4 linked regions of the Tamandua tetradactyla genome follow. The protein of the gene in region 4 binds, or shares a complex with, the protein of the main gene of each other region. Links are inferred from orthologs where the notes say so. Each region holds a gene or a part of one and is shown on either strand. Other genes may lie near its edges.

Region 1 (7,670 bases), on a different chromosome or scaffold from region 4:
CTTCGTTCAACCCCTGCAATGACATCCAAACTTGTCTCGCTATCCTGCTGTCTGATCCTTTCCCGGTTTCCCCGCTCAGGCCACACGGCCGTCCCACGACGTCCCTCCTCTGATTCCTGACTTCTCAAGCATGGCCTCCTCCTAGTACCACTTGGGGCTCCCCAAATTTGGCTCAACTCTCCTTCAAGCTGTACTTCCGTCAACATCCTGTTGCTAGCTTTTAGACCCAAATGGACACCCATCACCCTCTGCCCGCCTTCACCTGCCTGCCTCAGTTTTTCTGTCTCTACAACCCAGAGCTGGTCAAGGTCTAGTTCAATCACTTCTCTCCCCAGGACAAAGAACACGAGGGCCACACTCCATCAATCACAGCAGGCTCACCTACCCAGGAGATTCCAGCTCCCGGACGGCTGGCGTTTTATCTCATGCACTTGCTCAGCCCAGGGCCAGCTGCACCACTTGCTGACAACATGACTCTGGGAACTTAGCTCCAAACCCCAAGCCTTGGCTTCCTCTTCAGTAGAGAAGACTGGCTGCAATCACAAACACCCAGTCCCCAGGCGGGGGCCCCACGCCACCTGGAGCACAGCAGCCCCCCATTCTTTGGAAAGGAAGAGGTGGAAGGCAGCTACCCCTCAATGCCTACTGCAAAAACAAGTCCACAAAACTGGGAGGCTGTTTCCTTGAGTAGGCCCAGCCCCCATTTAACAAGCACAACTTGAGGAACTAAGCTAGGTGTTCAGGGGTGTGTAAAGAAAAATGAAAGCATTCCCTGCTCAGAAGGCACACGACAGAGCGCAACATGTTCAAGACAGCATATGAGAACCCTCTTCGTAAAGCAAACACAAGCCACCCCAGAAACATCTGCCTTGGAGATTCAACAGAATACCAGAAGATAGTTTCAGTGAGCCAAGGAGAACTCCAACCACAGCAGTCAACACAGAAAAACCTCAAAGTCATGCAGAGAGAAACAGAGAGGGCACAGCAAATTGCACAATTGTGCCTACAAAAAGTTCGAAAACATGTAAAACAATGCTCTCCCTATATTGGTTACAGATGGATGTTATGATGGTATAAAACAGAACAAAAACATTGGAATGATAAATAAGATTCAAGGTCATGGTTACCTCCAGGAAGGACCAAAGGTTTTATTTCTTAAAAAAGAAAAGGCAAGACAAAGCATTAGGATTTGAATGGGACAGGTGGTGTATCATTCTCTGTATTTTTCTGTCAGCTTGAAATATTTAATAAAATCTCACTTATTTTTGAGTGTGTTAATACATTCACGTGATTCTAGTTCAAAAGGTACAGTAGAAAAGTATACCATGAAACTTAAGTTTTTCTTTCACCTACATCCTAACTAATCTTCTCCCACACGCAACTATCATTCCACTTTCCAGAAGGAAGGGGATGCACAGGAAAATATACCCTATTCCTGCACAGTCCATTATATGGAAAGCCATTTTTATTTGAACAATCCTCTGTGGAGGGGCATCTGGGTTTCCTGCAGTTTGTTATTGCAACCAGTTTGGCCCCGCAACTCAACTATGCATGCCACAACATACATGTGGCAGTTATCTGAGGGAAATTACTGAGCCACAGAACTACTGAGTCATTTTTACTTTAAAGTATATTTTTAATTTATTTCTTATTTTTGGGGTGCACAGCCTAAGAACTGAACCCATGTCTCCCACATGGCAGGCGAGTATTCTACCAGTGAACCACCTGTACACCGAATATTTTTTATTTTAAAGGATATTGTCAAACTGCCCCGCATACAGGTTATGCCAACTTATTCTCCAAGCAGCAAAGCACGAGAACCTGAGAAGCATGAGAAACTGCCTAACTCACCAATAGTGTTTCTTTATAGTCTTTGCTCTGACTGAAATGCAAAAACGCATTTCAGAGTTTTTACTATATAGTTTAATATATAGTAAATGTAGTTATACATATATAGATAAATTCATATTTCCACAATTGACAGCATTCTAAAAAAACAGAAAATTAAGCCAAATGCAGCACACCCTTTATGATTCCCTTCTCACACCTGTTTTCTGGAATAAAGACTGCTCTTCCAAGCTGAAGCTGTGGCACCCTCCCCTCCCGACGTATTTTACAAAGGACTACCCTGAGGCTCTTCCCCAGATCCCTCTAGCCAGATCCCAGATCCCTCCAGCCAGATCCCAGATTCCCACTCGATGCCTTCCAAAGTTTCAGAGAATCAAAGAGTAAGCCTTAGACCCCCATCAAGTACAGACTGGACAGAAAAATAATTATAATGAAGGTATGCCTGGCAGAAAGAATTTCAACTGCACAACCATTTACTGGGTCCTAAGGTGATCCTCCGAGGAGCCCCAAGACGAACCCCGGATGTAGGCAGCCTGCAGGAAGAGTTACAGCGATGGGCCAGGGGTACGCGAGGAGAGGACAGGAAGGGAGGCTGGGGGGGGGGGGAATCTCCCCGAAAGCGGGACCCCGCCTCGCGCCCCAGGACCTGGCCCCTGACGGCGCGGTCTCCGCGTCCCCTCAGGACCCCCACACTGAACCCCTCAGACGGTGGCCAGAGCGCGAGCGCGCGGCCGGGGAAACTGAGGCCCTAGGTGGCGTCAGGCCCCGCCCCGCGCCCCGAAGCCCCGCCGCAGCCGCCTGTTGCAGGCCCGGGGCGCCGCGGGGAAGGTCACGCTGAGGCCCGCCGCGGGCCACTGGCCTACCCGGCTGAAGAGGCCGCCCCAGGGGCCCCCGCCCCCCGCCAGCCCCCGCCGCCGCGCCCCCGCCGCGCCCCCGCCACGTCAGGCCGCGCGCTCGCCTCAGGCCGCCGCCCCCGCGCCTCAGACCGCGCCCGCCCCGCGCCCCTGTGCGCCCACACCGCTCGCCGCGGCCCTCCCCGCCCGCCCCCGCCAGTGTTCCCGGGCCGGCGCTCCCCAGCCCGCCGCCGACACCGCCCTGCGCCTCGCAGCTCACCTGGGGAGCCGCCGCAGGCCGAGGCCGACTCGCGGGGCGGGGGCGGGGCGCGGGGAGGGTGCGTCACGTGGGCCGCGCGCAGGCGCAGAGGCGAAGAGAAGGCCGGAGACAGGGGCTGGAGCCCGCAGCTGCTCCGCGGAGGAGGCCCCACCCGCACAGCGCCGGGCGCCTGGGGGAGCGCGCGGAGGATTGAGGACCACCGACCCCCGCCTGGCAAGGGTCCCTCAGCGTAAATCCGCGTCCTCCTCCCCCGCTCCTGCCCCCCTCACTCATCCATCACTCCCACCCTCCCTCCCTCTCTCATCCCCCACCCCCCACCCTCTTCACGCCCACCCTCCCTCCCGCTCACTCATTCATTCATTCCTTCTTTCCCTGCCTCATTCATTCCTTCCTCCACCAGTAGCCGAACCTCTAGGTGGATTTGGAGAAAGGAGACGCCTAAGTCTGGGCCAGGCCCTGGGAAGTCAGGTGGAAGAAACCTGTGTGAACAAGTTGTTTTATTTTCCTTTGACCTGGACTCTGGACTAAGTCCAGTTTCCAAAATCTCGGGCCTTGTCTCAGTCGTCCCGAGGGGACTCTTGGAGCTTGTTTTTCTCCACACCGCATCCAAGAGGGTCCGGGTCCTCCAACACCACATCTGATGGCCATGTGCAGATGTCACAGTGCAGGGTCTCAAGATAGATGGGGTGGGGGTGACCTATAGAGGGGGTGGGGTGAGGTGTGGACAGGGAGTGCTAATGGTTAAAAAGAAAGGGGGAGGGGAAGACAATAAATGAAAGAGGAATGATGTCCCAGAGAGTACCAGAGAACCCAACAGGGAGCAGAGATTCCTAATGAGTGCGTTCCTGGGAAGGCTTCCTGGAGGAGGTGACCCCTGAGCTGTACAACAGACGGAGACTTCTGGAGAGCAGGAAAAGCATTCCAGGAAAGGGGACAGTGTGAATGAGGCATGGAGGCAAGAACCAGCCGTGTGAGTGACTGGGAGGGCCCCAGGGTTTTCTGAGCCTGAAGGGAGTACTGGAGACCAGACAGGTTCCCCCTGGAGGCTTGACTTGACCCCGAGGGCAGCAGAGAAGCTGATTTGCATTTCATAGTGGCCTGGGCTGCACAAGCTGCTCTGCAGAGCAGGGACTAGGAGGCTGAGAGGCAGGAAGTGAGAACAGAGGTTGGTGCTGCTGGAAACCTGGGAAAGGGGCAAGTTCCAGGATATGGACAAATGATAGGTAAGTGGAGAGCCCGAAAGGAATGGTGGGGGACAGGGAAGGCAGAGCAGGAGCTGACTGGGAATAGAGATGAGGCCCTCTTGGCCCCAAGAAGTTTGAGGGGCCTGCCAATGCCATCTGAGGACCCCACTGAGGGGGAAAGTATGGGGTCAGGAGAAGTGGCTGAGGACAGAAGCATGGACACATCAGGAGCACCCAGAAAAAAGGCACCCACAGAGGTGACTGGGGATAAGGGCTGAGGACCACGTATCAAGAGAGACCCTGAAGAGAGAAGCAGCATGACCCCTGGATCTGCAACGATGGCAGAGCTGGCCTGCAAGGATGGAGGTGTGGCTGGGAAGATGAGAGGGACAGATGGAAGCCCATTCTGGGAGAGGGGAAGGGAGTACCTTCACAGGTGGGAGAAGGGGTCTGGTGGATGAAGAGGGTGGAAACAGGTGAGAAGTAGGCAGCCAGAGGAGCAAGGGAAGGGGCTGGGGAAAAGGGGACACATCTCTGAGCTGGAAGAACCATCTCAAAATATACCAGGTCAGGTCAGTGGTTCACCACTGGAAAGTTCTAGAGAAGGAAAGTGGCAGGATAGGAGGAGGCCTCTGTAGCTGTGGTGTGCAGATTTTCTGATATCCTCCCGTGGATGTGTGCACTTCCTAGGAACTCCTCTGAAAGAACTTCATCTGCTCCTCCACAGCTGTATCCCAGCACCCAGAACAGGGTCTGGTACTCAATTGGTGCTCGGTAAACACAAAGTGAGAGCATTGGAGCAGAGAGAAATGGGAAGCAGGGAGACTGGCTAAAGGATGGTTATAAATGACGGAAGACTTTCTAAGCCTCAACCCAGTGGAAGATATCACAAAGGAAAAGAGCAGCAGACCTGCCTGCAAAGCAATTTGATGGCAGTCAACTTAAAAAGAAGGCGAAGACATTTTTTTGCAACTAAATGATAACAAATGGCAGCCTTAATATCTAAAAAATTCATAGAAAACAGTAACAGAATATAAAGATTCCAATAGTTAAATGGGAAAGGACATGAAAAGTTAATACATGAAAGTGGAAGAATAACTTCATACTTCATAAATACTGTGAAGAATCATCACCTACTGGGACAGTAAAAGAAATGCAAATTACTGAATCAGTGACTATAATCTGCGATGTATACAACAGAAAAAAGATTAGTATCCAGGACCTCTAAAAATCAATAGTAATTAGAAAGACAACCAGCCAGAAAAATGGCAAAGGATATTTACTGAGCATTCCCAGAGAAGGAAGTACCCTGGTTGTAAACAAAGTAGAGTTCAGTCTCATTACTAATCAGGAAATGCAAATAAGTTGCCGCTTTTTGACACATCAACATGGTGAAATGTAAAGTGGGATGAAATCACGATTTGGTGAGTATGGGGAATATACATGTGTTCTAGTTTGCTAGCTGCCGGAATGCAATATATAGAAACAGAATGGCTTTTAAAAAGCAGAATTTAATAAGTTGCTAGTTTACAGTTCTAAGGCTGAGAAAATGTCCCAATTAAAACAAGTCTATAGATGTATAATTTAAGGCATCCAGGGAAAGATACCTCGGTTCAAGAAAGCTGATGAAGTTCAGGGTTTCTCTCTCAAGTGAGAAGGCACATGGTGAACACAGTCAGAGTTTCTCTCTCATCTGGAAAGGCACATGGGGAACACGGCATCATCTGCTAGCTTCTTCTCCTGGCTTCCTGTTTCGCAAAGCTCCCCAGGAGGCATTTTCCTTGTTCATCTCCAAAGGTTGCTGGCTGGTGAACTCTGCTTCTTGTGGGTATGTCGTTCTCTGCTCTCTCCGAATCTCTTTCTCCAAAATGTTTCCTCTTTTATAGGACTCCAGTAAACCAATCAAGACCCATCCAAATGGGTGGAGACATGTGGTCACCTAATCCAGTTTAACAACCACTCAACTAAATCACATCATCCAGGGAGATGATCCAATCACAGTTTCAAACATATGGTATTGAACAGGGATTATTCTACTTTTATGAAATGGGATTTTGATTAAAACATGGCTTTTCTAGGAGGCATACATTCTTTCAAACCAGCACAACATGTGTTGCTGATGGGAATGTTGATTGGAACAGCCAATTCGGACAGTGTAGTGGTTTTAAAATACATCTGTAAATTCTTTACCTCACCTCCTGTGCTGGTTTGGAAGCACCCAGAAAAGCTATATTCTTTTAACCCAATCTTGTGGGGGCAGACCTATTGTGTGGGTGGGACCTCTTGATTAGATTGTTTCCATGGAGATGTGAACCTACCCATTCAAAGTGGGTCTTAATCCTTTCCTGAAGCTCTTTATGAGAGAAAACTCTGTGGACACAGAAAGTAGAAAGACACAGATGCTTGGAGACAGACAGAATCTCAGAGAGTAGTTCACCAGAACCTGGAGCTGAAAGCAGTAAAAGCAGGGAGAAAAGGGCTGGCAGATGTCACCTTGTGCTTTCCCATGTGACAAGAGAAAACCCAGATGCAATCAGCCTTTCTTCAGTGAAAGTATCCTCTTGGTGCTGAAATTTGGACATTTTCATGGCCTTAGAACTGTAACTTGTAACTCAATAAATCTCCACTATAAAAGCCAATACATTTTCAGTGTCTGCCCATGCAAAAAAAAAAAAAAAAGGCCAATATGCTTCTGGTATATTGCATTCTGGCAGCTTTAGCAAACCGAAACACCTCCTTTCGAAAGGTGAGACTCACTTTCACTCCCCATGAATACTTCCAAATGATAGAATGAGGACAAAGTAATGGCATGTCATTTTCAAGGCCAGATGATAACCAGGCATTGCAGCTTCCCTCTTGTTCTCTGTTGCATTGCTCATTCTGTGGAAGTGAGCAGCCATTTCGTGAGGACACCCAAGCAGCCCTGAGGAGAGGTTCCCGTGAAACAGGTCTCCAGCCAAAACCAGCTTTCCAGCTGAGCCATCTGCCTGGAATCAGATCTTCCAACATCAGCAAAGTCTTCAGGTGATGGCAGCTCTGGCCAGCATCTCCCTGGAGCTTCATCATGAGAGGCACTGTTTCAGAAGCACCCAGCTAAATCTCTCCTGAATTCCTGAAGCTCAGAAACCATGAAGCACGAGCATTTATTATTGTCATTTCAAGCCACTTAGTGGTGTAATTTGTTTTTGAACATTTGCATCTCCCCAGCAAGAGAAAGAAAAAAGAGAAAACTCATATATGCCATACCCTGTCCATACCCTGGATAAAAGGAGCATCAGACACAAGGTTTTCACAATCATACAGTCACATTGTAAAAGCCTTATTATTATACAGCATCTTCAAGAAACATGGCTACTGGAACTCAGCTCTACAGTTTCAGGTACTTTGCTCCAGCCACTCAAATACACCATAAACTGAAAAGGGAATATCTATATAATGCGTAAGAATAACCTCCAGGATAACCTCTTGACTCTGTTTGAAATCTCTCAGGCAGATTTTAAATAAAATGTAAAATGCCTCTGCAAA
Region 2 (7,942 bases), on a different chromosome or scaffold from region 4:
TGATACAGGACAGCAGGCAAGGAAATAATGAAATGCACAACACAGCCAGTCCCGCTGGAGGAAGTCCCAGGAGGAAGTGGAAAATACACCCTTCAGCTGCCTAGAAAGAGAACTTCATGGAAACAGTGGACTCCAGTCAGCCTTGAGGAGAGGGGAACGGGGCTTGGCAGGCAGTGGGCCCCAGGCTTGGCCCTGACACACGGAGTGCAAGGACCTGGGGGGCGGGGTAGGGGGAGTGGCACTTGCAGCCCACGCACAGGCTTAGACATGCGGCGGGAGGAGGGTGAGAGCAGCTGCCTGTGCCCTGCAAAGAATCCCCAGCTTTTGGCTTGGGGCCCACTCCCCACCCTCCCTACTTGTCTGTCAACTTCTCACTCCTCCTCCAGAAACCCTCTGCTTACACATCGTGACTGATGTAGCTCACCACTAGAGCCTGCATTCTCTGGAAGCCCTTCACAGGCATCTCCAAATGCTGGGCAGGTTCTGAAAGGTTCGGTCTCCTGTTTCTTCTCCCTCTTCCATTCTCCCCACCCGCCCGCTCACCTGAGTGCCCAGCTGCTCAATCAACAGCAGTCGGATGCCAAACAGAAAATCTTTCCCCAGGTCTGTGTTTAAATTCAAGGAAGGGAATATCCGCCAGGCAGCCTTTCATTAACTTAACTATGATGTCAGAGCACAGAGATTTTTACATGTGACTCAACATCCTGTTTGTCTTCCATCATGAAATTACCCCACTCCTCCTATCACCCCTTCCCCTCCACCCTCATCTTTGGATTCCTCACTCAGGGTGTAATTCTCCAGGAGTGACTCTCCTGGGACATTCTTTCATCAGAACAACAAAAAAATCTGTGCATAAAGCTTTTTATATATACATTCTTCTCATTTAAAGCAGAACACCATACAAGTGTCGCGAACGTGAATTAGCACTACCCTTTCTGGCAATTTCATGTTATCCATCACTAAAACTAACCCTTATTTACTAGAAGGTATTTTCTGAGACATTGAGACTATCTGCTGTATTATGTTCACATACTAATTTTTGGTTTGACAATTAGGAAAGCAAATGTGCTAAAGTGGATGATGAAAAAAAACAACTACAGCACAGATATACTGGCTAATTAACCCTCCCCCCGCAGTGATTTCTATTACAGTAAAGCAGCTTTTTTTTTTTTGCAGCTTTTTTTTTTAAGTAGTCTTAAGAGACAAACACAAGGACGAACAGACTGGACAGTAGTGCAAGCCAAAGTCAATCAGCTTTGAGTAGATTGTCCCAGTATTGAATACAATCAATGCCTTGAAACTACCCAATGCACACAAGCAATTTGAAATGTGACTTAATACACAAAATGGGAGTGTGTGAATAGAAATGCAAGTGAATGACCACTAAGATCCACTGTTTCAAAAGACAAACAAAACAGTGAGGCACACACCCACATAATAAAAAGAAAATCACAGCTAACAAAAGTCTCCTTCTATCCTGGAGAAGCCTCATTTTCTGGGAGATCAGTTCTCTTAAGAGAAGACAGCTTGGTCAAACCAGCAATGGAAACAGCTGGGGAAGGAGGGGGTAGGGGGAGTGGGGATGAGAGTGCTGGCATCACAAACCCTGGTTTCTAACAAGGGGATGGGTGGTTTTGTGGTAACTTGAGAGTTCTCGTTTCCTGAGCACAAAGGTCATGCCATACTGAGGATGGCTGCTTTAAAGAGGAAGCTTTCTAATGCACAGCAAATGTTGGGCTGGCGAGGAACAAAGCCAAGTGTAATTATGTAGGCTCAACGGAGAGACCCAGCAAAGTTGGTCTAAGGCTTGTGAACTGCCAAGGACAAAAAACAAGTAACAATTATTCTTCCAACAGGAGCTTCAATCCTTTATAACTCCTAAGAAACACTCCTCCTTGGCTTACAACCCTTGCAAAGGTAATCATGAAAGTAGCTTCTGCTACCATCTATTACCGTACAACTGGATGAGCATTTAATTTAAGGAAAGACAAGCTGCAAACCAACCTCAAAAATTCCTACCCTTTTGTGAAGGTAATGGGGAAACTAAAGTTATTTACAAAGCAGAGTGAAAAAAGATCTACCTGCTCCCGCTTGGGCACCTCCAAGGCACTCTTTAACATAGGAAATGCTCCCTCCGAAAACTCACGCTGCGCACACCTCCTGAGCGGCGGGGTGGCGCGTGCTACCGTGGTTGAAACGGAGGGAGCACCAACTCTCTAAATGCAAATCACTGGGAAGGAGGTCACCTGTGCCAACCACTCAAGCCGGCGTCAGGTCAATGTCCACAATGTGAAAAGACCAGAAGAAAGCAAGGGTTCTCCGCCTGCGCGGCCAGCACGTCCGCGGGGACAAAGAAGCGGCGGGGTTCATACCCTGGGGCGAAAGAATCTAGGGAGGAAAAGAAAAGAGACCCACAGCGAAGAAAAACTCCGGGGTCTGGGAAACCTCCTTCGCGAAGGGCGAGACGGGAAGAAAGGGAGGCGCCCCGAGGAGAAGCGGCCGGGGATCCGCGAGGGTGGCGGGCGCCAGGGCGCCTTCCTCTCCCTCCCCGCGCAGGACGGTCCGGGATGAACTGGTGGCGACGGAAGGCGCGGGGATCGGAGCCCGGACCCGCAGCGAGTGGCCGCTTGCGCTGAGGTCTCCGCAGCTACAAGAGGGGGTGTGCCGCGGGCCCGGACCCCTCGGCCGGCCTGCGCGGCCCTCACCTTGTCCGAGTCCAGGTCGGGGTCGGCCTGGCACAGACGGTACAGAAAGGATTTCGGGTCCCGGCACAGCGTCTGCCGGGTGGTGAGGAAGTAGGTGCCGCCGACGTTGAGCCGGACCCACTTAGACACGCTGCCCGGGCGCTGGGCCGGGGCGCCGAGGCCCACGCTGCAGCGACGGCACAGGCCGCCCCCCAGCCCCGCCCCGAGGCCGCCCGGGGGCGCCGGCAGCAGCTCGCAGTGATTCTCCGCCATGATCCCGGCAAGCCCCGCCACAGCTCCCCTCCGCCGGAAGCGTCCGGCCTTTAATACCGTCCTCCGGCTCCGTCCCGCCCGCGGGCCAGCCCTAGCAGAGCGCCCGCCCCGACGGCACGCGGGAGGCGGAAGTTCCGGCGGGGAAAATCGGCCGGCCGTGCCCACTTCCGGAGGGAGCCGGTCCCGGGCCAAGGGTCTCCCAGCGTGGCCCGGGTGCGCCGGTGCTCGATTCTCATCTCCAAAATCCCAGATCGCGACCACTCCGGATCAAAGGAAGAGCCACGCCAGCGAACACCTCTACATGCTTTTTTATTACAAGACTACCGAGCATACGTGGAGAATTCATCATCCGTTAACTACATCTGAAGCACAAATACTTGGGGAAAAAAAGGGGGGGGGGATAAACAGACTCATTAAATTATGATATGATTAAATCATTGACCAAATAGAAAATTTATATAATAAAGCCAGAAAAAAAGTTGTAAAATATAGTTTACAATAATTATTCACATTCAAGGCTGTACATCAATACATACAACGTGTCCCCGAACATGAATTCAATCCAAATAATTCATATATTAGAATTTAAATAACACAGACTGAACTAGAGGCCAACAAGAGCCAGCAAATAACCTTATATAAGAATAAAAATACAAAAGTGTATATCCTAATATCATTGCATTGTTTCATATTTTTTTTTTAATTTTTGCTTTGCCTGTACATCACAGTTACAGCTACAGACCAGGTAGAGAACATTACACATGCTCTAACTGACTGCCACCAACCTGAACGGCAGCGAGCATACTATCGGTTCTTATGTTTTTTAACGAACAGCTACAGCAGCTCTAACTACTGCCACAATTATATTTTGCCAACGTCCAATCAAGCTGATGGTCATAATAGAGGCTTGTCACTAGCAAAATGACCCCAATCCATAGTCATTCAGCCAGATGGCTTAGACTAAAGTGGATCACACAGCTAAAAAAGGTTTGTCTTTTGTAAAAAGTTCTCTGTACATAAAGTTTGGTGTTTCTTCACATTGAAGAAATGAGTTATGGGGAAAACCCAGGTATACACGTAGGCTCGTTCAGTTCCCCACCATGGCCATCTGAGCTAGAGATAAAACTGCCCTCTCCGGAGCCGCCTCCTCCTCAGACCAGTTCTCCACAGGCAGCCTGGCTTGAACTGTGTGAGCTTCAGCCAGCGAGCCTGCACCCTCAGAGGCCCCAATCAGAAAGCACTTGCCAAGTGTACTGCCTGAGGAGAAAAGGACACACCCACCTGAGTCATCTACAGTTCATGCTAGGTTTGGGTATGAAAACAAAACAGAAAAACAGGTATGGCAACATCTCAAAGAATAGTACCTTCACCACATGCTCGCAGTGACTGTGGCTCGCACTGCCTCTGATGTCTTGGCAGTGATCACCCTTGTTTGTGGACCAGCCAGGGGAGGGGACTAGGGGGTCAGAGAAAGGCCGAGCAGCCTAATTCCACACAATTCAACCGTAACCTCTGGTTGTCAAGTGGCACTGAGCATGGTGCCTGGAAAAATCTGTCATGCATGTTTACCCTCAAAATCAATGGATCCCCTAACATGGAAAAAATAAAATTGATATCAAATTTGGATGGTCTGGCTTGACAGCTATGGGGGTGGGAGGGGCGGGAGAGAACTCCTTAAATTCATACCAGCCAGGATAATCACATTCAAAACTGAAAAAGACTGGGCCCTTATGCTTTCCTGGACCCCTAAAACCTTCTGACCATATTCTACAGTGTGAAGAGCTGAGACACACACACACATTCTTCCATAAGATTCAGTCTACAGTTTCTTTTTCAAGTATACAGGCTCTTCTACAGATTTCAAAGGCCAAGTATACTTTCTGAGTCTATAAACTTAATAACAAATTATCCAATAAACATGTGGCAAGGTCAGTTCAACACTTATCTCTGCTGACTGTGCAGAAGCAAATTCAGTACCATTGTAGACACAAAGTACAAGATTCTGAAAATATCACCAACCACTCAAAAGCCATAGCAGCAGGGATGGGAAGATAACATGCATGAACAATCAGATTCTTTCAACGGAAATAAGTAAGCTGGTTTTTAGGAAAAAAAATCTATCATGGATGGATTGCAGTAATGGTATCATTTTAGCAATTTAAAAAAACAGTGGTCTTATTCAAACATTCTTCGGAACAAAGACCTTATCAGAAATGGATGTGTTCAGAATCTGAAGGAAAGAACTAAGGATGTTCTGATATTGGAATTCTATGCATCTAAGCATCAGATCAAAGAGAGAGAAAGAACAATACCACCTTCAAAATGAACAAACTCTCTGATCCCAAAATACCACTTCTAGGAATCTAAGGGGGAGGGGGGAAATAGAGTCAAAATCAAAGATTTATAAGGATATGCATCACAGCAATATTTAAATACTGAAAAATCAAAAACTATATAAATGTTTTACAACAGAAAAGTGGCCAGATAAATTATGATAAAATTTACAATCATTAAACTCTACCATCATTAAAAACATGTTTTTGAAGAATTGTTCACAACATAGGGAAATGCTTAAGATCAAATACCAAGTGGAAACAGCTTGATGCAAAACTGTATATGTTGCGTGATCCCAGTTTACTTAACAAAGCCAATAAATGTGCATAGGGGGATAAGTGGCAGGATAGACACCAAAACGTTCACAGTGGTCTTCTCTGAGTGGTGAGCCCGCAGTAGATTTTTTCAGAAAACAAATGCTGGTTCTAACAAAGTACCCCATGGTGAGCTCTGAGGGTCTGTGCCATGGGGCTACCTCCTCTGCAATTCCTTCAGGCCTGGCTCACAAATACCAGAGTGGCCGGAAAAGCAGGCTGGGGTGAGTGAAGAGGTGCCTGCCAGCTCTGGCATATGATAACACAAGCCATCTTTCCCAAAGCAAATTTTTAATCAGACTCCACCTAACAGAGGCCTCAAATAGCACGCTGCACTGCTCTCCACGGGGATAGCAGGACTTAGCAATCTGCAGAGGGACTTTGCTCTGGCCTGGCCAGGTTTGGTCCACAGAGAGAAGGGAGCAGCCTCATCCCAAACCAGCTTCCTCTCACAGCAAGGCAAGGCAGAGTGGGCTGCCTGAGCCAATAAGGCCCACAGCCCTCTTGGCCATCCCTCCTCCCATCTGTGCCAAGGGGTGAGGGGGCAGTCTCGGCTCAGCAGGCTGCCTGACTGGGCATTTACATTTGTCCTTACCGACTCCGGTAAAGACACATGGGCCCTGATTTTTTTCTCACCTTGGATAACATTCACATTTAATTTCTCTTACGTACGTCTGATGACCCAGACCCATGTGCACATCTTAGAACGTAAGGCACTGGCATGCTGGGGCTACGGCTCCAAGGATGGGCTGGATAAGACTAAGCAAAAGAACACGCAAAGACCTTAAAAAGTGAAGGAAGGGGGGCAGGCATTTCTGAGTAAGAGGAGAAAATGGTCTCTAGAGAAGAGGCCTGTTGTCATCCACTCAGGCAGAGGGTGGCCATTTCAGTTGTCACCTGAGAGCGTACTTCTGAACCTTCCAATTATCTCATTCAGGATATCAAAATGGGAGCTGGTTGGTGGCGCCCAAGAGGTAGTGGCGCTATCCAGAGGGGAAAAGGCCAACGTAAACTGTATCTTGTCCCCAAATAATCGGCCAAGAGCCCTTGCTAGACCAGGGCGGGTTCTGTTGTGTCCCATTAACCAGAGCCCAGAAGAGGGGGACAGGCTGGGGGCAAGCTCCAAACTCTCCTCATTGCATACACAGAATGAGGCATTCTGGAAAGTGTAAAGTGTAAAAAAAAAAAAAAGAAGTAAGCCTGAAAAGAAACTCCTGAAAGATACAACCAGGTTAGACTCACCTTTTAAAAGCAGAAGAACAGAGGTGAGCCTTTTTAAAAGCGAGGAGGAGAGGAGGTACTGTGACCAACGGCCACCCTGGGCAGCCTGCTGGGCCCCAGAGAGTGCTCAGACACCGTGCCTGCGAGAGTCCTGCCCCCTACGGCACCCCGACACCTTGCCCCCCGCCCCCCACCCAGCTCCTATATACTCACAGTTCTCATGGACCACACCCACCCAGGAACCACAGCAGAGGCAAGCCCTTCTCACTGCTCAATCCCAATGGCATTCTCCAAACCTGCACTTTTTTCCCAGTTAAAAAAGAACCACTTATCACTCAAATGGAAACAGTTTGAAAGAAATCCTTCCTCTCAATTTGGACCTGGCCCGGTTCACAGAGTTGAGATAAGAAATAGGAGGGGCAGGGAGGTGGTGTGGAGACTCTCTTCTATGTGAGCCTTTCACTGTTTCCTTGGTGCTGCTCTGTAAAAATCTAAAGGAAAGTGCACGACTTCTCATGCCCTTGGGACATTCAAGTCAAGGCCATGTCTGTGAGCAGACTGCAGGGGTGGTGGGGTCCTGCCCCTCTTCAACACAGAGGCCAAGGGCTGTCCTCCAGGGACAAGCGGGACCACCAGAGGAATGGCTGGGCCCTTCTGCACTATCAAGAGGGCTTCCTGACAGGTGAACGGCAAAGAAAACAAACAGACTAGCAAATTCTGGACCCCTTCTGCTGTTCTAGCAGCGTGCTGCCTCCTAAGCATCAAAAGGAAATGACCCAACAACTAGAAGAGGAAAGCAGACTGGGTACACTGAGGTGGGATATGTGGTGCCCTGTCTCTCCTGCAAGGCAGATAACACTCTTTTCCAGGCAGAGTCTGCTCTTTAAGGGACCAGATGATGCAGCAACATGAGAAAATTCAGCTAATTTTAATTTTCAGTGTAGAGAGAGAAAAACTCTCTGAGTCAGGCCTTGAAAAATGTTTACCCACAATCACCAGGAAGGGGTGCACGTGATGGTGGGGCCGTTTGCTCCCTCTGCCACCTGGGTGTGACTAAGTAACCACTGTATGTACACAACACCAGCAGTTTCTCTCAGCCCTCCTTAACCAATCGGG
Region 3 (7,828 bases), on a different chromosome or scaffold from region 4:
CAGCCCTGCTCAGGGGATGAGGGTTCCAGGAAAGGGTTGGGACCTTCTGTGGGAGCTGGGCTGACCTCCATCGGGGGGAGGGGCTGCAGGCGCAGGCTGATAAGGGGGAGTCTGGGTGGAATGCTGTGCCTAAAGGCTAGGGAGCCATGAGTGCTACCCACCTCTTGTTCCCTTCCCCATCCCCCTTCCCCTGACCCCCACCCCTCCTCACCCCAGCTTGTCCCAACTAAGGGTTTCCTGGCTGGTAAAACACAAAACATTTCAGCAGCCTTGGCCAGCCGAGGCAATTCAGTTATGAAATTTCACACATGAGACGAAAATCAGCCTCTCAATTAGCCAATTCATTTGTGCCTGGCCACTCTGCTTGCTCGAGCCAGCTCTGCCCTCCCATTCAGACGAGGCTACCCCCATGAGGTTGGCTGGGACGGAGGAACTGAGGGTGTAGGCACTGAGCCAGCCTCAGGCCAGTGGGCTGGGTTCTCCCAGCCCCCCTGAGCAGAGGCTGCATCAGAAGCCACCCGGCTTCATGTAGGACCACCCGGTCCCACTAGCCCTGCAGCCTGGGTCACCCACTGCTGAGAACCTTTCCGCCCCCTCCCACCTGGACCTGAGCCTGCTGCACCTACCTCAAGGTTTGCAGCAGTGAACAGGCCTCTAGGAAAATTGTGGGTGGGTGTGGGAGACACGGCAGCTTCCTAAGGCTTGCAGTCAGACTGCACTGTGGCATGCCACTGCCCCATCTTTCCTCAGCGGAGGCTCCAGCCTTCCTTCGGGAAGCCCAGCCCCAGCCCCATGCTCTGCTCTGTGCCCCCTCACCTCCACTTGCTGCCAATATCCCTGGGGCAGTGTGCAGGCCCACGGCCCAGCCCTCCACACTAGCAGCTCCCTGAAGGCGGGTGGCCAGCACCCAGCAGCCCGGGGTGTAGCACACAGCGGGTGCCCCACCAAGCCTGTCCGGTGAATGAGTTAATCAATGAATGAATGAATGACCAATTCACCACTAAATACCACACTCCTTCTCCCTCATCCCTATTGTGTTGTATGGGAAGAACCAAGCCTGCTTTCATCGCAGGCCACATACCTCGGCTCCTAGTAGCTTTCTCTTCCTTCCTGCTCTCCTCTGCCCACACCAAGTGCCTGCAGGTTTGAGCTGCTATTAAGTCATGGGGCTGCAGAAGCTGCCTCCAACGTGCAGCCCACATTCGCCCTCAGCTCCTCTCTCCGTACCACGAACATAAATCTGACTGTGACTGCGGTGGAGAACCAAGACTAAGGTTCCTTCAGTTTCCCTCCACCTTCCTTTTAATAATCTCCCTGGAGTCACTTCTTGACAAACGGAATGACTCAAGATCCAAACAGCTGCCGGGCCTTGGAGGGGCTGGGATTCAAGGAACCCCTGTCTTTGAAGAACACTGAAGTGCCCCTGGTGGGGTGGACCTTGTGTCCTGCTCCTCCCAGCTGCTTCTCCCAGCCCCAAGTGCGAGCCTCACAGCAGCTCCCAGGAGGCCCGGCTGCAGGGCTGCCCAGCAGGCATCTGGTCCCTCTACAAATGGGGAGGCCAACGCCCAGGTCCCAAGGGGCCTGATTCCTGTTCACAGTTTCCCGAGTCTAGACTGTGATAAGACGGAGGTTCCTGCTTCTCTCCGAGTGCTGCCGAGAACTTCCCTCCCTAGAAGGGCCTATCAGGGCCAGAGCAAAACCAAAGGGTCCAGGTGCCCGACGTTCTGTGCCCTAATTGACCACAGAGGGCAGAAGCCCAGCAAGCCTTCCCCATGGTGACAGCCACTGGGCCCCAGGGGACCGCAGTGTCCAGCTACAATCTGCAGGGAGCTGCCCACCCCCTCCCTAGACCCAATCCCTTCATGTCTCTATAGGTTTTCTTTGCTCTAAGATAATGGGAATGAATTTTGGGGACCTCTGCAGCTAGAGCAAAGAAAGTGGGTAGTGTCCCTGTTGGGGAGGTTTGGTTAAAAATCCTCAAACCAAAAGCTTCTAAAGCAATTACGAAGGGGAGAGGGGGTGGGGGTGGGGGTGGGGGTGGGGGTGGGGCCGGGGGCGGGTCTGGGCACCAGGGTGAGAGATGGGGAAAAGGAGTCAGGCTGGAAGAGGCCTGTTCTCGGCCGGCCAGGTGGCCGCCCTCCAGGTGGGCAGGTGGCTGTGACTTCAGGGCTGTGACCATTTCTCTGGCGCCCCCAGATCTAAACAGACCATCACGGTGTCCGGCGAGAGACCTACTCGGCCCGACAAAGAAATCGGACAGTTCCTCTCCCCAGCAGCGGCTGCGCCCTGGAGCACCCCCGCCAGACTAGACCCATCTCTCCTGGTTTTGCCCCGGCAGCCACCTCTCCCTTGGTATCCACGGTTCGGCCGGGGCTCAAAGCCGAGGCGCGCGCACACCCTCAGCGAACAGCGGCTGCCTCCTTCCGGGATCAATAGTGATTTTTTTAAAAAGAGAGTCTGCAGGCTCAATGAATCAACCCCTCCCAAGGGAGAGTCGCAGCTCCCGCGCGCAACATCCATTTGCAGAGCAATTCATTCCCCCGCGCACAGCGCTCAGCAGAGACCCTCCCGCGGCCCCCAGGCCCCGGCGCGGCTGACTGCGGTCCCCCTTTGTCCCCGACCCCAGGCCCCACGCACCCCCCGGCGGCCGGGACAATTCCGCGAGTCGGCGCCGTGCTGCCGCCGGGACATGCGGCCGGGCCAAGGCTCCCTCCGCAGGAGGTTCCCGCCGGCGGGACGCGCGGGGCCCGGCGCTGCCGGGTCCCGGGGCCGGACAGGTTCCCCAGGCCCGCGGCGGGAGGGGGCTCCGCGCGCCGGGTTCCTGGAGCAGAACCTGCACCGGGCGCGCTGGAGCCGGGCGGCCCCGAGTCGGCGCCCCTGCCCCCAGCCCAAGTACTCACCGCCCCAGGCGCTGCCGGCCACCGCACTCAGACGCCCCTCACCGCTCCGCGAGGCTCCGCAGTCCCCGCCGCCGCCGCCGCTTGCGTGCCGGCTCCGCCGCAGCCCCGGATCGCGCTCCCGCTGCGGTACAGCCCGGGCGCCGCCAACAAACTAGTTTCTCCGGCCTTCCCGCCCCGCCTCCCTGGCCGAAGCACAGCAGCCAATCAGAGGCGGCACCTCTGTGACAGATGGACAGCCGAACCCGTGTTAGTTCGGAGGAGGAGAAAGGGGTGGGCGCCCGGGCCGCGGGGTACAGGGAGGGGGCGGAGCAGGCCCAGGAGAAGGACTTCGTCCTGATTCTTAAAGGGGCAGGCGCGTACGTGCCTCCTAGGGCCAAAGTTAGAAACCCAAAGCAAAAATGTGTTCTACAACTTTCCTAAGGAAGGGGCTATGTACGTTGCATATACGTTTACTGCCGTCCCCAGATTACAAACCTGTAGGTTTCGTTGCATAGTCTAGAATCACACTCTTAGTTGCCCGAGGTTAAGAAACCCTTTCTTTTTACTCCGGGCCGATTTCAATGGTTGGAATTTTCGGCACCCACAGACCTCATTTGTGCATGGAATCTGCATTTTTCAGGGTATCTCGGCGCTCCTACCCCTGCCATTTCCCACTGGGCTCTTTTTGTAAGCCAGCTTTCAAATATTCATTCATTCATTCATTCCACAAATGTTTGCTAGATGCCTGTGGGTTAGTCTCTAGGGAATTGAAAGATTCTTAATTCCTCGTCCATGCATTCCTATAGGGCTTGCATCCTATTCCATCACTAAGCTTGCTATGCATGCAATTTCTTCATCTGTAAAATGGCAGTTAAAAACTCTTCAGGGAATTATTTGGAAGATTAAAGAAGACAAAACTTCTATGACTAGGCACACAACAAATACTCTTTCTTTTTTTCCTTTTACTGAAGAAAGATAAGTCAAGTAGGTCACCTAAGGTTACAGATAACTCTAGTGAAGTATAGAAAGTGATAAGAGCCAGCTGAACATTGGAATAGGGAGAATTCCTAGTAAGCAGAGGTCACAGATGGGAGGTGCAAAGAAGGTTTAAGGAGGAGGAGAGGAGTGTACAAATGCTTTTAAAGGAAGGGTAGGATTATGACAGGTGGAAATGGAAATAGAGCCCCATGACTAGAAACCTCCTTAGATTGGGCAAAAGAGATTCCAGGCTTCAAAGGCTCTGAGATGACAGAGAAAATATGACCAGGGAAGGCATTTTGGGGGAAATAGTATGGGTAGAGAATGGGTGAGACCTGGTTTGAATTCCAGCTGTGTCCCTCAAGAGCTGTATAGGATTGCTTCATACTGGTAAATGGAGGATTCTACAATCTCTCTTGCAGAGTTATTGTCAAGATTAAATATGATAATGCATGTAATGAACGTGGCACCTAGTGAGTGTCTAACTTAAGAATTCTTTTACATGAGTGAGAAACAAACTTCTATCATGTTTAAGTCACAGTTATTTTTGGTTTTCTATCATATGGAGCAAAAGCTAATTCTGATACGAGATTTTTTTATCGTGTTTCAAAACTGTGTGTTCAAACAATTTGTGTGAGGGACCAAGGATTCAGAAATGGCTGTCTTGGCCCTCCAGGACTCACTATGCAGGGGGGTGGACAGGTACACAGGTCGCTACAATGCTGGGTTGGAAGGGGTTGTGATGGTGGTTCTGCTTTATGCAGGGTTGTGTCTCTGGTCCAGATCAGAGACTTTAAAAATACAAAAATTCTATTATTTAAGAGCAATTTGGCCACATGCACCAAAGTACCTTCAAAGGGGAAAGACGCAGCATCAAAATAATTGCTCCATTAAAGAAATGACACAGAGCATATTTATAGTTTTAATTTCTTGCCAATTTTCTACAGCTAGGGAATTTATATAATTGTTGGTTGGATGAAGCACCACATGCAAAATTGACTCTCAGAAAGTTTGGAACCACTACTTAACATTCCATACAGGTTCTCTATGAAATTATAAATGCCAACCATCTAAAATCTGGTCTAGATTATCATTTCCCCCCCCCCCCCAACTCCAAGGCTTAATTTAGGTACTGGAATACATTAAAATCAAATAAAGGCGATGGAATGAAACCAGATCAAGACATGTGTTGAGTTATTGCATTTAGATACAAGTTGAAAGAAAAAGAGGCGATGAAGCTTGCTTCACCATCTGTCTCAGTCCTCACTGTAGACCCTGGAGCAGAACCACCATCACAACCCCTTCCAACCCAGCATTGTAGTGACCTGTGTACCTGTCCTCCCCCCTGCATAGTGAGTCCTGGAGGGCCAAGACAGCCATTTCTGAATCCTTGGTCCCTCACACAAATTGTTTGAACACACAGTTTTGAAACACGATAAAAAAATCTCGTATCAGAATTAGCTTTTGCTCCATATGATAGAAAACCAAAAATAACTGTGACTTAAACATGATAGAAGTTTGTTTCTCATTCATGTAAAAGAATTCTTAAGTTAGGCAATCCACTGTTATCAGAGACCTGGGCTCCTATATTTCCATTTTGCCATCCTTAATGCCTGGGTTCCATTTCCAGGGTTGCCTCATGGTCCAAGATGGCTCCTAGAGCTCTGACTATAGCATCCATATTCCAGGCAGCAGGAAGGAATAAGGGCGGAAGAGCAACAGATGTGTACCTTCCAGCCCTGTCAGCCCCACTTAACCAGCTTCCAGAAATCCCACACAATGCTTCCATTTATATCTTATTGGATAGAACTTAGTCACAGGGCCACATCTAACTACCAGGGCAGCTGGGAAATGTTGACTTCTATATGAGTGTATCACCTTCCCCAAACAAAATCAGGGCTCTGTTACCAAGGAAAAGGGGAAGAACAGATGTCTGGTGTCAGCCAACCATTCTAGTCAACACCTTTTATCCCCCTGACATGACCATCTGTCCTGTATTCCTGGTAGCCCAGAATCTAAGGTCTTAGAAACTCTAGGATGAAGCATAGAACTCAATACATATTTGATAATAGATATTGAATTATTGGTTCTCCTTCTACTTTTCCCTATTCAGTCGTCTCTGCTGATTTCTCCTTGCTTCCTAGGCTCGCAAATTATGGAGTGCTCTGGAAATGAATGCAGGTACATGGAAGACCCCTTCCCTCCCCACTCACACTCTCTAGGAGACCTCATCTAGGCCCATGGCCTTAAGTTTCTATAAACACTGGCAACTCCCAAAGCTGTATTCCCAACCCTGACTTCTCCACGAGCCCCTGGTTCATCAGTACAGTTGCTCCTCAATGACTTTGCTTGGATGTCCAGGGTCCCCTCAATCCTCACTTGCCCCCACGGAGACTTGATATGCTGCCCTGCAAATGAGATCTTTCTCCTACAGACTTCCCTAGCTCGGGAAAGGACAACTCAAGCATTCCTTTTGCTCAAATAAAACATCTTGGTATCACTCTCTGGTACATCCCACTATCAGGAAATCCTTGCAGAGACTGAGCCCCTCTCACCACGTCCACAGTCATCCCTGGCCTGGGCCATTGCAGCGGCCTCCTGATTCATCTCTCTGCTCCCTACCATCCCCTCCCCAACCGAGTCCAGTTTCTCTCTTTTTTATTTTGAGTTTATTCTCAACACAGCTGCTGAAAGGAAACCTCATCATGTCCTTTCTCTGCTCAACATCTTCCACAGGCGTTGTCCATCTTCATCCAGCGTGGGGGTCAGCGTCCACACGTCGGACAGCAGGCCTTGCTGGGCCCGGCCAGGGCCACCCCTTGCACCCCGTCTCCCACCTCCCTGCACCCAGCACTCTGCTGCAGACCCATCAACCACTTTGCTGGTGCTCAGACCAGCCCATCGCACTCCCAAGGTACGGTCTCTGCTGGGTTAGTTGTTCCACCTGGAAGGCTCTTCCCTGCCATGTCCACAGGCTTCACGCTTGTGCTTCACCCTATCAGATGGGCTTTCCCTGCCCAGCCCCTGCATGAAGTAACCACGTTCCCGCCCCGGCCACCCCATCCCCTACCCATTTTGAAGCCACGTATAGGTACATACAGTGAAAGAGAGAAGCAGCCCCTGGCACCCTTTCCATTGTCATTGGACTTGTGGGTTTTTCTACATATCTTTGAGACGATTTTGATAACCTATGTTTTCCCAGAAAATCCTGGCTGCCACTGAGGTTTCCAGAATATATCATTATCCTGCTGCCTGTTATGTGTATAAACACACAGCGTTTTTACACTTGTACAACGTGGCGCTCACAGCTGTTCTCCTATGAACATAAATTATTTCACAGAACATCACATCAAAACACACTGGATCAAGGGAAAAGCGAGACCATGGATTGTCAGGTTTCAACAAGGGTAAAACATGAACATTGTCCAAGCCACAAAATATCCCAAATCCTCCTCTCTGGGGGCCAGAGTGAGTGACTATTGTTTCTTCACTAATTACAGTTTAAGCCTCTTTCTGGTCTGCCCCACTTTAAGGAAGATTTATTGGGATACCCAGTCACAGAATCATCCCCCCTTTCTGAGAGCACCAATCACCCATCTAAAGTCCAAATCCTATTACAGGTTCTTCCCAGCACCCCTTTACTAGGGCACCCCATTATCCCCCCTGTGTGTTCTGTCTCATTGCAGCAGGTCCTAAACCCAACTTATTCACTTGCAGCTGTGCCTGGTGGTCTCTGGCCGGAGGGCATTGGTGACACACACATGTATATATATATTTAAATTTTTGTTTTGTTTTTAATTGGCTGTCTTCTCTCCCAGAGGGTAAGTTTGAGGAAAGCAGGGCATTCCTTTATTCACTGCTTCATTTCCAGATCTGACAGCGCCCAGCACACAGCAGGCTCTCAACAACCCCCTAATTCAATGGATTGATAATGAAATGAGAAAAGCCTCACAGGCGGTGTTTGCTGCCAT
Region 4 (7,008 bases):
TCAAAAGCAAATAGTGCATTAAATGGTGGTACGATAAAACTTTCACTCTTCAGCACAATCATAAAAGCACACTTTAAGTATGCACTCAAATCACTAAAAAGCACCTGACTTTACTAAGTAGGACTATACCTAGAGTCCACCCACACATCTATACAATATATTTGGTAAGTTCACTCACCACTCCATTTTGCAATGAAAAAAAACGTTCGCAAAATATATTTTCATAAATTCTGACACATCAATTTTGTAAAAACATCATTAGTGAGCACTTGAGACTTGAGGGTAAACTATAATTTCCTTTAACTTCTAAGAAACTATATGGCCACATGGTATACGTAAAACCCACTAGCTGTAAGTATACCACACAAACAATATTTTTTTCTTTAAGGAAGGCTATGCATTTACTACTTCTGACTAGTGACCCATGAAGACTGTAGTTAGGTAGTCAAGGTTGCTAACCTGGAAGAAAAAAAAAAGAATATAAGTACTCAACCACGAGAGGGTAAATCAGTTGAACAGCATTCACAGAAGCATGCATCTGTCCTTAATGAAGGCTCATGGAACTATGAATTAAAAAATAAATATTAAAAAACAATGATTCTTTTCAACAGGAGCTACTTCCAAATAGCTTACTTATAAAATAGTAATGAAAAAACTCCCGCTTTTAAAAATTAGATTTTTTTAACTACTAAATATCAAACCTTGCAAACTTTTATTAAAGGATTTTAGAAAAACAGGACAATAAAGTATAGACAGAAAGGGTCTAAATTAGCTCATAACCATACAGCACTGTAAATAACATTAAGTAGAATCTTAAAACATTCATAATTAAACCAATTCCAGTACTATTTGTGAACCTATCATCACAAATATTTGTCAGTTAAAGGATAAAGAAAATTCACTTCCATCGAAGCCCTGCAACAATACACGTTCCAGAAAGCAGAGATCTTGGTCTTCCAAGCTATACAGATTTACCCCAAGCCCCTAGAATAGCATGTGGTTCATATACTCAATAAACATTTGCTGAATGAAAAGAGGGGGAACAGGTAAAAGCAGGCAAATCTAGAGATCAAACAGTCGGTAAGTAGGTAAAGGTGAAAAGAGAAACAACTCTTTAATCAGTATAATATTATCGTAACAGGTGAGTTGATGTTAAATATGAGCTACTCCACATTTTAGCAACAAATCTCAACTAAAAGAGCTCAGACTTCAAGAAAGAGCAGTTTTAAGATAGTAAACACTTCCTAGAAAATGTGTTGTCCATTTAATTGACAAAAGTCTGAATAGTTCTAAACTCTGCTAAAAAAGGTCTTAGTAGGAAAACGTTACTCACAAATTCATAAATCCAGCTCTTTGCCCCATCACGAGAAAAACATGCCAGTTACATTTGTACTCTTACCAACATTTCTCATGTTCTAATGCAATTTCTCACATTTGCTTAGGGAATAAACTTTAAAAATTCAAAACCCGTTTAAACAGTATCAAAACATGTAATTCTCTAGAGTACATCCTACCTTTATTTACATAGTCTTAAATTTCTAAACAATGACATTTCAGATTTCTGCACCAGTGTATTTTCTTTTTCTCCGGGACTGTTACTCATTCAACTACGACAATTATATTAAGTTTTTTCTCTCTGCAAACAGTGTACTTTAGAAAAAGCACGCTTAAAAAAAAAGTACAAATGTCCTTCCTTTCTCGCTCACCTGATGTACGTTTATGCTTTTAAGAAAGGAAAATCAAGATCTTTCTCTAGTTTGACTTTTTAAAATTAATCCTAGTTCAACTGCTACTTTGTCTATCCTGTCGTATGCCTGTTACCGTAGCGACAAGAGCAAGTATGTCCAGTTTCTGTTACAGCAGCGCATTTTAATTGCTTGCCATTGGCTATCTGAATCAGATAGGAAATCAAAAGTTATACCCTATCTAACCAAACGCCGCAAGCGTTTGACTCAACGCGATACATAAAAACAAAGTTTCTAAACATAATACATCTGCTGTCACTAAAACCGATAGAGTAATGCAACTTAGGGCAACGACTATTCATTCGTTTGGACTTCCAAGGCTGGGAAATCGAGGACCAATTGTCCAATCTGTTCTCTCTTGCTTCCCCTAGTCCCTGGTGAGGCAATTTCTGCACGAGAGAAATTGTGAAGTGCTTTGGACGGTTATGGGAAGAAAGATGTGATAAATACACGGATTTATTAGCATATTACCATCAAGCATTACGTGGAACCACTGTCACTACATCGAGAGTAAGTTGATGGCCCATAACCCTTCCTAAGGAGGGAATAGAGTAGGAGATAAAGAAAAAGAGAGAGAAAGGATAGTCCCCTATCACCCTAAAGGCTTGGCCGTCTTTTAGGATGGGTTATTTCTTAAGACGCTGCAAATCACACGTGAAATTTTACACACACACCCCATACAAGGAGGACTACGATACTCCCCATCCCTGCTGGGCTGGAGTCCCAGGAAACGAGCGGGGAGAGGAGTGCCTGGGTTTGGGCCTACACCCCAGTAATGAGGGGAAGTGTTGGGACCAGCGAAGGGGCTCCGGCCGCAGCCGACGCCCGTCGACCGGCTGGCAGCGCAGCTACGGGGCGTGGGGCAGGGAGCCGGGCCTGGGCACGGGGAACGGCCCAGGAGAGCGGCCGCGCCGGGGCCCTGCGCCGCCCGGTTGCCTAGAAGGCTTGCGCCCCGCGGCCGGCGGGCGTGGGGGGAGGGGAGACCGGGCCTGCGGCCTGTTGGGGGACTTCAGCCCGGGCCTCGCGTGCGGCTTTCGGCCGGAGCTCCGGCCCCGGGGTCCCGGGCGCCGAGGAGGTACTCACCGGAAAGGCCCGGATACGCATCTTGGTGTCCTTCCGGCTGCCCGTGCCTTTGCTCAGATTCGACATGGTGCTCGTCCCCTCCCCGGCGGCGGCTTCAGGTCGCACTCCGAGCGCCGGTGTCACATTTAAGGCGGGCGGGCAGGCGAGGGGCGACGCTGGGGGCGGCGGCGGCACGGCCCCCGGACTGGGCTGGGGAAGCTGGCCGGCCCCTGGGCGGCCGCGGCGGCGGCGGCGGCTCGAGCTCCGACGGCTCGGGCTCGGCTAGGGGGCTGCGCTGGCGCGGCGGCTCCGCGGGGTGCCCCTCACGCCCGGCTCGGCTCCCTTTATCGCGCTCCTCCGCGATGGCGGCGGCGGCGGCGACGGACAAACATCTCACTGCGCAGGCCGAACGTCCTCCTCCTCCTCCTTCTCCTCCTCCGCCTCAGCGAGACGAGATCCGGCCCAGAGGGTGGAGGGGGGAGGAGGGAGGGAGGAGAGCCGGAGAGTGGAGAGATTGGGGGGAGGGGGGGACGGGAGGACGGGAGGGGTAGGCAGGCGGCCGCGGCGGGGACGCTCAGATCTCGCGAGAAAGGGGCGAGCGCGCTGCCCCAGGTGGGGCGGCACAGAGCCCGGGAGCGGGAGGGTGCAGCGAGAAGGGAGGAGGGGAACCGGGAGTTGCAGAAATGGGAGGGGCCGCTGGGGCGAGGAGCCGGGGAAAGAGGCGGGGCTGAGGGCGGAAGGAGTTAGCAGCCTTCTCCACAGGCGAGCGTCGGAACCAGGCTCTGGGCAGAGGTGGTTGCTGATTGGTGGGGCGCGGGGGTGTTCTGGTCACGTGGGCGAAGTGGGAGGGGGAAGTCCGGAGAGCGGGCGCGGCGGGGAAGTGGACAGCACGGGGTTTGGCTGGGTGGGCAAAGGCTAGTCTCGGGGAGGAGCGTGGGATGCTAGGTGCATAGCTACGTCCTAGAACTGGTTCCTGTGTTTTTCTAGGGCATGTGTACTAGGGATGGGTACCTGGGTAGAAGCCAGAAAGCCGAAAGAGTTTGTGCCAGAGTGTCCTGCAGTGTCGGAAATTAGGGTTCTGTATGCTTAACAGAGTATTCGTACAGGTTGTGCTCACCGAGCTCTCAGGACTTAGTGGTGAAGGTGTTAATCCGCAACATTTCCTTAAATTGAGGAAGCTCCCAGACTCTGAACTCACTGACATTTTCTGGGGACTAAGGGCTTATTGGTGTTAAAATCTGTTTTTCGTTTCCGTTGAAATACAGTAACTCCCTTAGAGTAGTGCCATAGTTTGGAAAATAGCATTAAATGGAAGATAAGAACCTACCTTTAACCTGTCAAAACATTTTTACCATTACCAAGAGCATTGTAGGTATTTAAAACCAAAATTATTGTCTTTAACTCAAGCTGCTGTAAAATTGAAAGGTTTTTTTTATCACTGTACTCAAAACACTTAGTTTTGACTTGTCCGTTTTGCCTTTTCATTCATTTTGAATTTTACTTCCTGATTTTACCTACTTGCTCAGTTATTGTTATATTTGGGTTTCAGGCTCTGCGGAGGGATGTGTGCATTCCTACTAAAGTATTTGATCTTCACAATTCTTGGAAGGGGCATCTACTTTGGAAAACCGGAGTTTTAATTGTTTTATAACAAAACCGATTAAGTAAACTCAAGTGTGCTTTTTTTAGTTGTTAATTTACGGTTGAATTTGCCCTAAGTTAACATAGTCCTGGTAACTACCTTGTGAGTATGCTTTCAGCCCCTACTTGGTTGACACGCCCCATTGGAAATGTATTTTCTTGTTTTTGATTTTTGCTATTAACCTATCAAAGCAGGAGCTTAAGAAATGAGGGTGTTGCTTGAGGCAATATCTGAATAAATACTGAAGCTAAAAATAGGTCATCAATAACTGGGACAATAAGGTAAGATTGGGAGGGGCTCTGGTTTAAATATCAGATAATATAAATCTTGGATAGGAGTTTATAATCTGTGTGCTAATTGAGCCATCATTTCCATGATCATTAGAATATGAAAACAGCCAGTGCTTTCCTACTGGTGTACTGTCATGTGGCCCAGTTTCTTTGTAATATTGCTTTGAATCCCAGCCTTGCCATTTTACTGGCTGTGTTATGTGTATTTTGGGACAAGAACTTGTGCCTAGAGTTCCTCATCTGTAAAACTGAAATAATAATAATACCTCCTGTTTGGGCTGTTAGCAACTTTAAATGACTTAATACATTTTTAAAAGCCCTGAGAGCAGTGCTCATCAGCTACCCTCTTGGTATCTTGCTTATACTCACAGATAATGGTTTATCTTCTTTTATTTAATATGTGGGTTTCTAAAAGGTACATGTATGTTTTTTTAAAATGTTCATATTTTAAAACTAAGCCAGGCTTCAAGACATAGACTTCACAAACTAGTAAAATATTTTTCAAAATATTAGGAAACGGATGTAGGATTAACAACTTTAATTTGATAATTATGGCATTAGAAAAGAAAAACTACCACAGATTATCCCATCAGTTTAGTAAAGAAAAAGCATTTTAACCACTGAAAGAAGGAAGGTCAATTTTTTAGTAAAGAGCTGTTCTTTACATTGATTAATTTAGCTTTATGAAAAGCAACACATTGTGCTGATTTTTCTTATTCCACTGTAAACCTGAGAAAACTTCATACTCCAGCATTGCATCAATTGTTTTGTGAACCCAGTTTTTCTTACCTTGCTTTTGCTTATGCAAAATTTAGCTGCACTTAAGAAGAATCTTTTCAGCTATGTCTTCTGTTAGGCTTTTAAGCACACACACACACACAAAACAGAAAAACTTCAAAATGAATTTGTCTGTCACTGCCATTAAGAAATCCACTACTCATTCATGTGTTCATTTATTCTTCCGTTCAATCAAGATATGTTTATCGAATGGCTACTGTATGTCAGGCACTAAGGTTAAATGACAAATGAGACCTGCCTTCACAGGACATATAGTCCTATTCACATTCTCAGGATTTGGAAACCACAAACCCATGAACCATTCAGCAATAGCTTTATGTACCCTACGGTCCAGAAGTCAGAAATGTCCTTTCTTAGGAACGCAGCATCCTTTAAATATGTATGACATAACCCCTAAAGTAGCAGTAGACTATTCTTTTATGCCCACTGATAGTCCCTGATTCACAAATAGCAAATGAACTTTCAGGATATTAGCTTTGCTATACAGTTACAGAGAAAGCAGGGCTGGAATAGGAACTCACTAGATCATGCATGCCTGCCAGTTGGAGTTGCTACTTATGCTGACTGTGTCCTGACGTGGGAAAATGGTAGCCCCATTTCCATTGATTTGTATGGAGCATGTGCATAGCAGTCAGGAAGGGGACCTGTGGGCCAGCTCTCTTTCTACACCCCAGTCTGTGAATAGATAGAATGGGCTCTGAAGAGCCTGTGAAAGGGAGTAGCTTCTACTTACTTAGCTGGAAGTTTTAGGTATCTGGGATACCACTGCACTTTAATCACTGTGTCAGACTGCTGATTTGATTATGCAGATATTAAAACAGCTGACACCAATTAAATTAGAAAGATCTGTTCGGTGTATTTGAATAAGGAAAGACTGTGTTAGGAAAAGATGCATGTTTTTCAAATTGGAAGGGAAAGATATAGATTATAAATATTATCATTTCCTTGAAAGCAAGAGCTATGTCTTCTACTTTTTTTTACCTTGTCTCCACCAGACAATTAATAAGCATTGCAGGCCGTTGGACGTGGCTTTGTATATATTTAAGGTAGATGTATGCTTACAAGCTTTGTAAGATAACATGTTAATGGGGAGAGAGTTCCCCATTAAGAACATAACCACAGATACTTTGACCGATTTATTTATTTATTTATTTGTTTGCATGGGCAGGGCAGGGAATCGAACGCAGGTCTTCAGTATGGCAGGCGAGAAGTCTGCCTGCTTAACCACCGTGGCCTGCCCAATCATAGATACTTTAAATACATGAAAACTGTACGCCTTCTCCATGTACCTTTTCTTCTTTGTCTTTACTGTTTTCCTTATATCATTGAGACAAGAAGCATGTGAAACATGAGCATATGAGACAAGCTGCATCCTGAACAAAAAGAAAAATCATAAATGACTAATTACATCATAAAAGCCCATCTCTTAATTTTTCTTCACACGGTCAGGCTAAAAAAAAAAATAATAATC

Evidence for each region.
Region 1: the proteins of CUL3 (region 4) and KLHL22 are in contact, whole or in part, in a cryo-EM structure (PDB 8K8T), measured with the Homo sapiens proteins. The link is inferred for Tamandua tetradactyla from reciprocal best matches to the Homo sapiens genes CUL3 and KLHL22. Residues at the interface, in NP_003581.1 of Homo sapiens: Thr14, Arg17, Ile18, Arg19, Ala20, Phe21, Pro22, Met23, Met25, Asn49, Ser50, Gly51, Leu52, Ser53, Phe54, Glu55, Tyr58, Tyr62, Leu66, Met118, Asp121, Ile122, Met124, Tyr125, Arg128, Val129, Gln133; in NP_116164.2 of Homo sapiens: Asp73, Tyr74, Arg76, Gly77, Met78, Gly81, Gly82, Leu83, Lys84, Glu85, Leu92, Ile93, His94, Leu117, Gln121, Val125, Cys128, Gln129, Gln131, Pro133, Trp146, Glu150, Asn151, Asp154, Val155, Arg157, Leu161, Phe162, Asp163, Ser165.
Region 2: the proteins of CUL3 (region 4) and KCTD5 are in contact, whole or in part, in a cryo-EM structure (PDB 8U83), measured with the Homo sapiens proteins. The link is inferred for Tamandua tetradactyla from reciprocal best matches to the Homo sapiens genes CUL3 and KCTD5. Residues at the interface, in NP_003581.1 of Homo sapiens: Thr24, Met25, Asp26, Glu27, Lys28, Tyr29, Val30, Asn31, Ser32, Ile33, Trp34, Asp35, Leu36, Leu37, Asn39, Ala40, Glu43, Asn48, Ser50, Leu52, Ser53, Glu55, Glu56, Leu57, Arg59, Asn60, Ala61, Tyr62, Thr63, Met64; in NP_061865.1 of Homo sapiens: Trp45, Phe55, Leu56, Thr58, Thr61, Arg64, Asp65, Lys67, Ser68, Pro96, Thr97, Tyr98, Phe99, Gly100, Pro101, Leu103, Asn104, Tyr105, Leu106, Arg107, His108, Gly109, Lys110, Leu111, Val112, Ile113, Asn114, Lys115, Leu117, Val122.
Region 3: CUL3 (region 4) and KLHL25 share a complex: the UniProt entries of both Homo sapiens proteins name them as parts of the BCR(KLHL25) E3 ubiquitin ligase complex. The link is inferred for Tamandua tetradactyla from reciprocal best matches to the Homo sapiens genes CUL3 and KLHL25.

The regions. Positions count from the first base shown.
Region 1 is NC_135331.1:27,298,761-27,306,430, reverse strand, and holds the start of KLHL22 (kelch-like protein 22), read right to left. Parts: upstream 3,006-7,670; 5' UTR 2,962-3,005; intron 1-2,961. UniProt on the Homo sapiens protein: Substrate-specific adapter of a BCR (BTB-CUL3-RBX1) E3 ubiquitin ligase complex required for chromosome alignment and localization of PLK1 at kinetochores.
Region 2 is NC_135349.1:54,764,815-54,772,756, forward strand, and holds the start of KCTD5 (BTB/POZ domain-containing protein KCTD5), read right to left. Parts: upstream 3,014-7,942; 5' UTR 2,958-3,013; coding exon 2,706-2,957; intron 1-2,705. UniProt on the Homo sapiens protein: Its interaction with CUL3 suggests that it may act as a substrate adapter in some E3 ligase complex. Does not affect the function of Kv channel Kv2.1/KCNB1, Kv1.2/KCNA2, Kv4.2/KCND2 and Kv3.4/KCNC4.
Region 3 is NC_135338.1:93,727,820-93,735,647, forward strand, and holds the start of KLHL25 (kelch-like protein 25), read right to left. Parts: upstream 3,010-7,828; 5' UTR 2,901-3,009; intron 1-2,900. UniProt on the Homo sapiens protein: Substrate-specific adapter of a BCR (BTB-CUL3-RBX1) E3 ubiquitin ligase complex involved in various processes, such as translation homeostasis and lipid synthesis.
Region 4 is NC_135329.1:200,351,205-200,358,212, forward strand, and holds the start of CUL3 (cullin-3), read right to left. Parts: upstream 3,012-7,008; 5' UTR 2,895-3,011; coding exon 2,829-2,894; intron 554-2,828; exon of another isoform or gene 539-553; coding exon of another isoform or gene 494-538; intron 1-493. UniProt on the Homo sapiens protein: Core component of multiple cullin-RING-based BCR (BTB-CUL3-RBX1) E3 ubiquitin-protein ligase complexes which mediate the ubiquitination and subsequent proteasomal degradation of target proteins.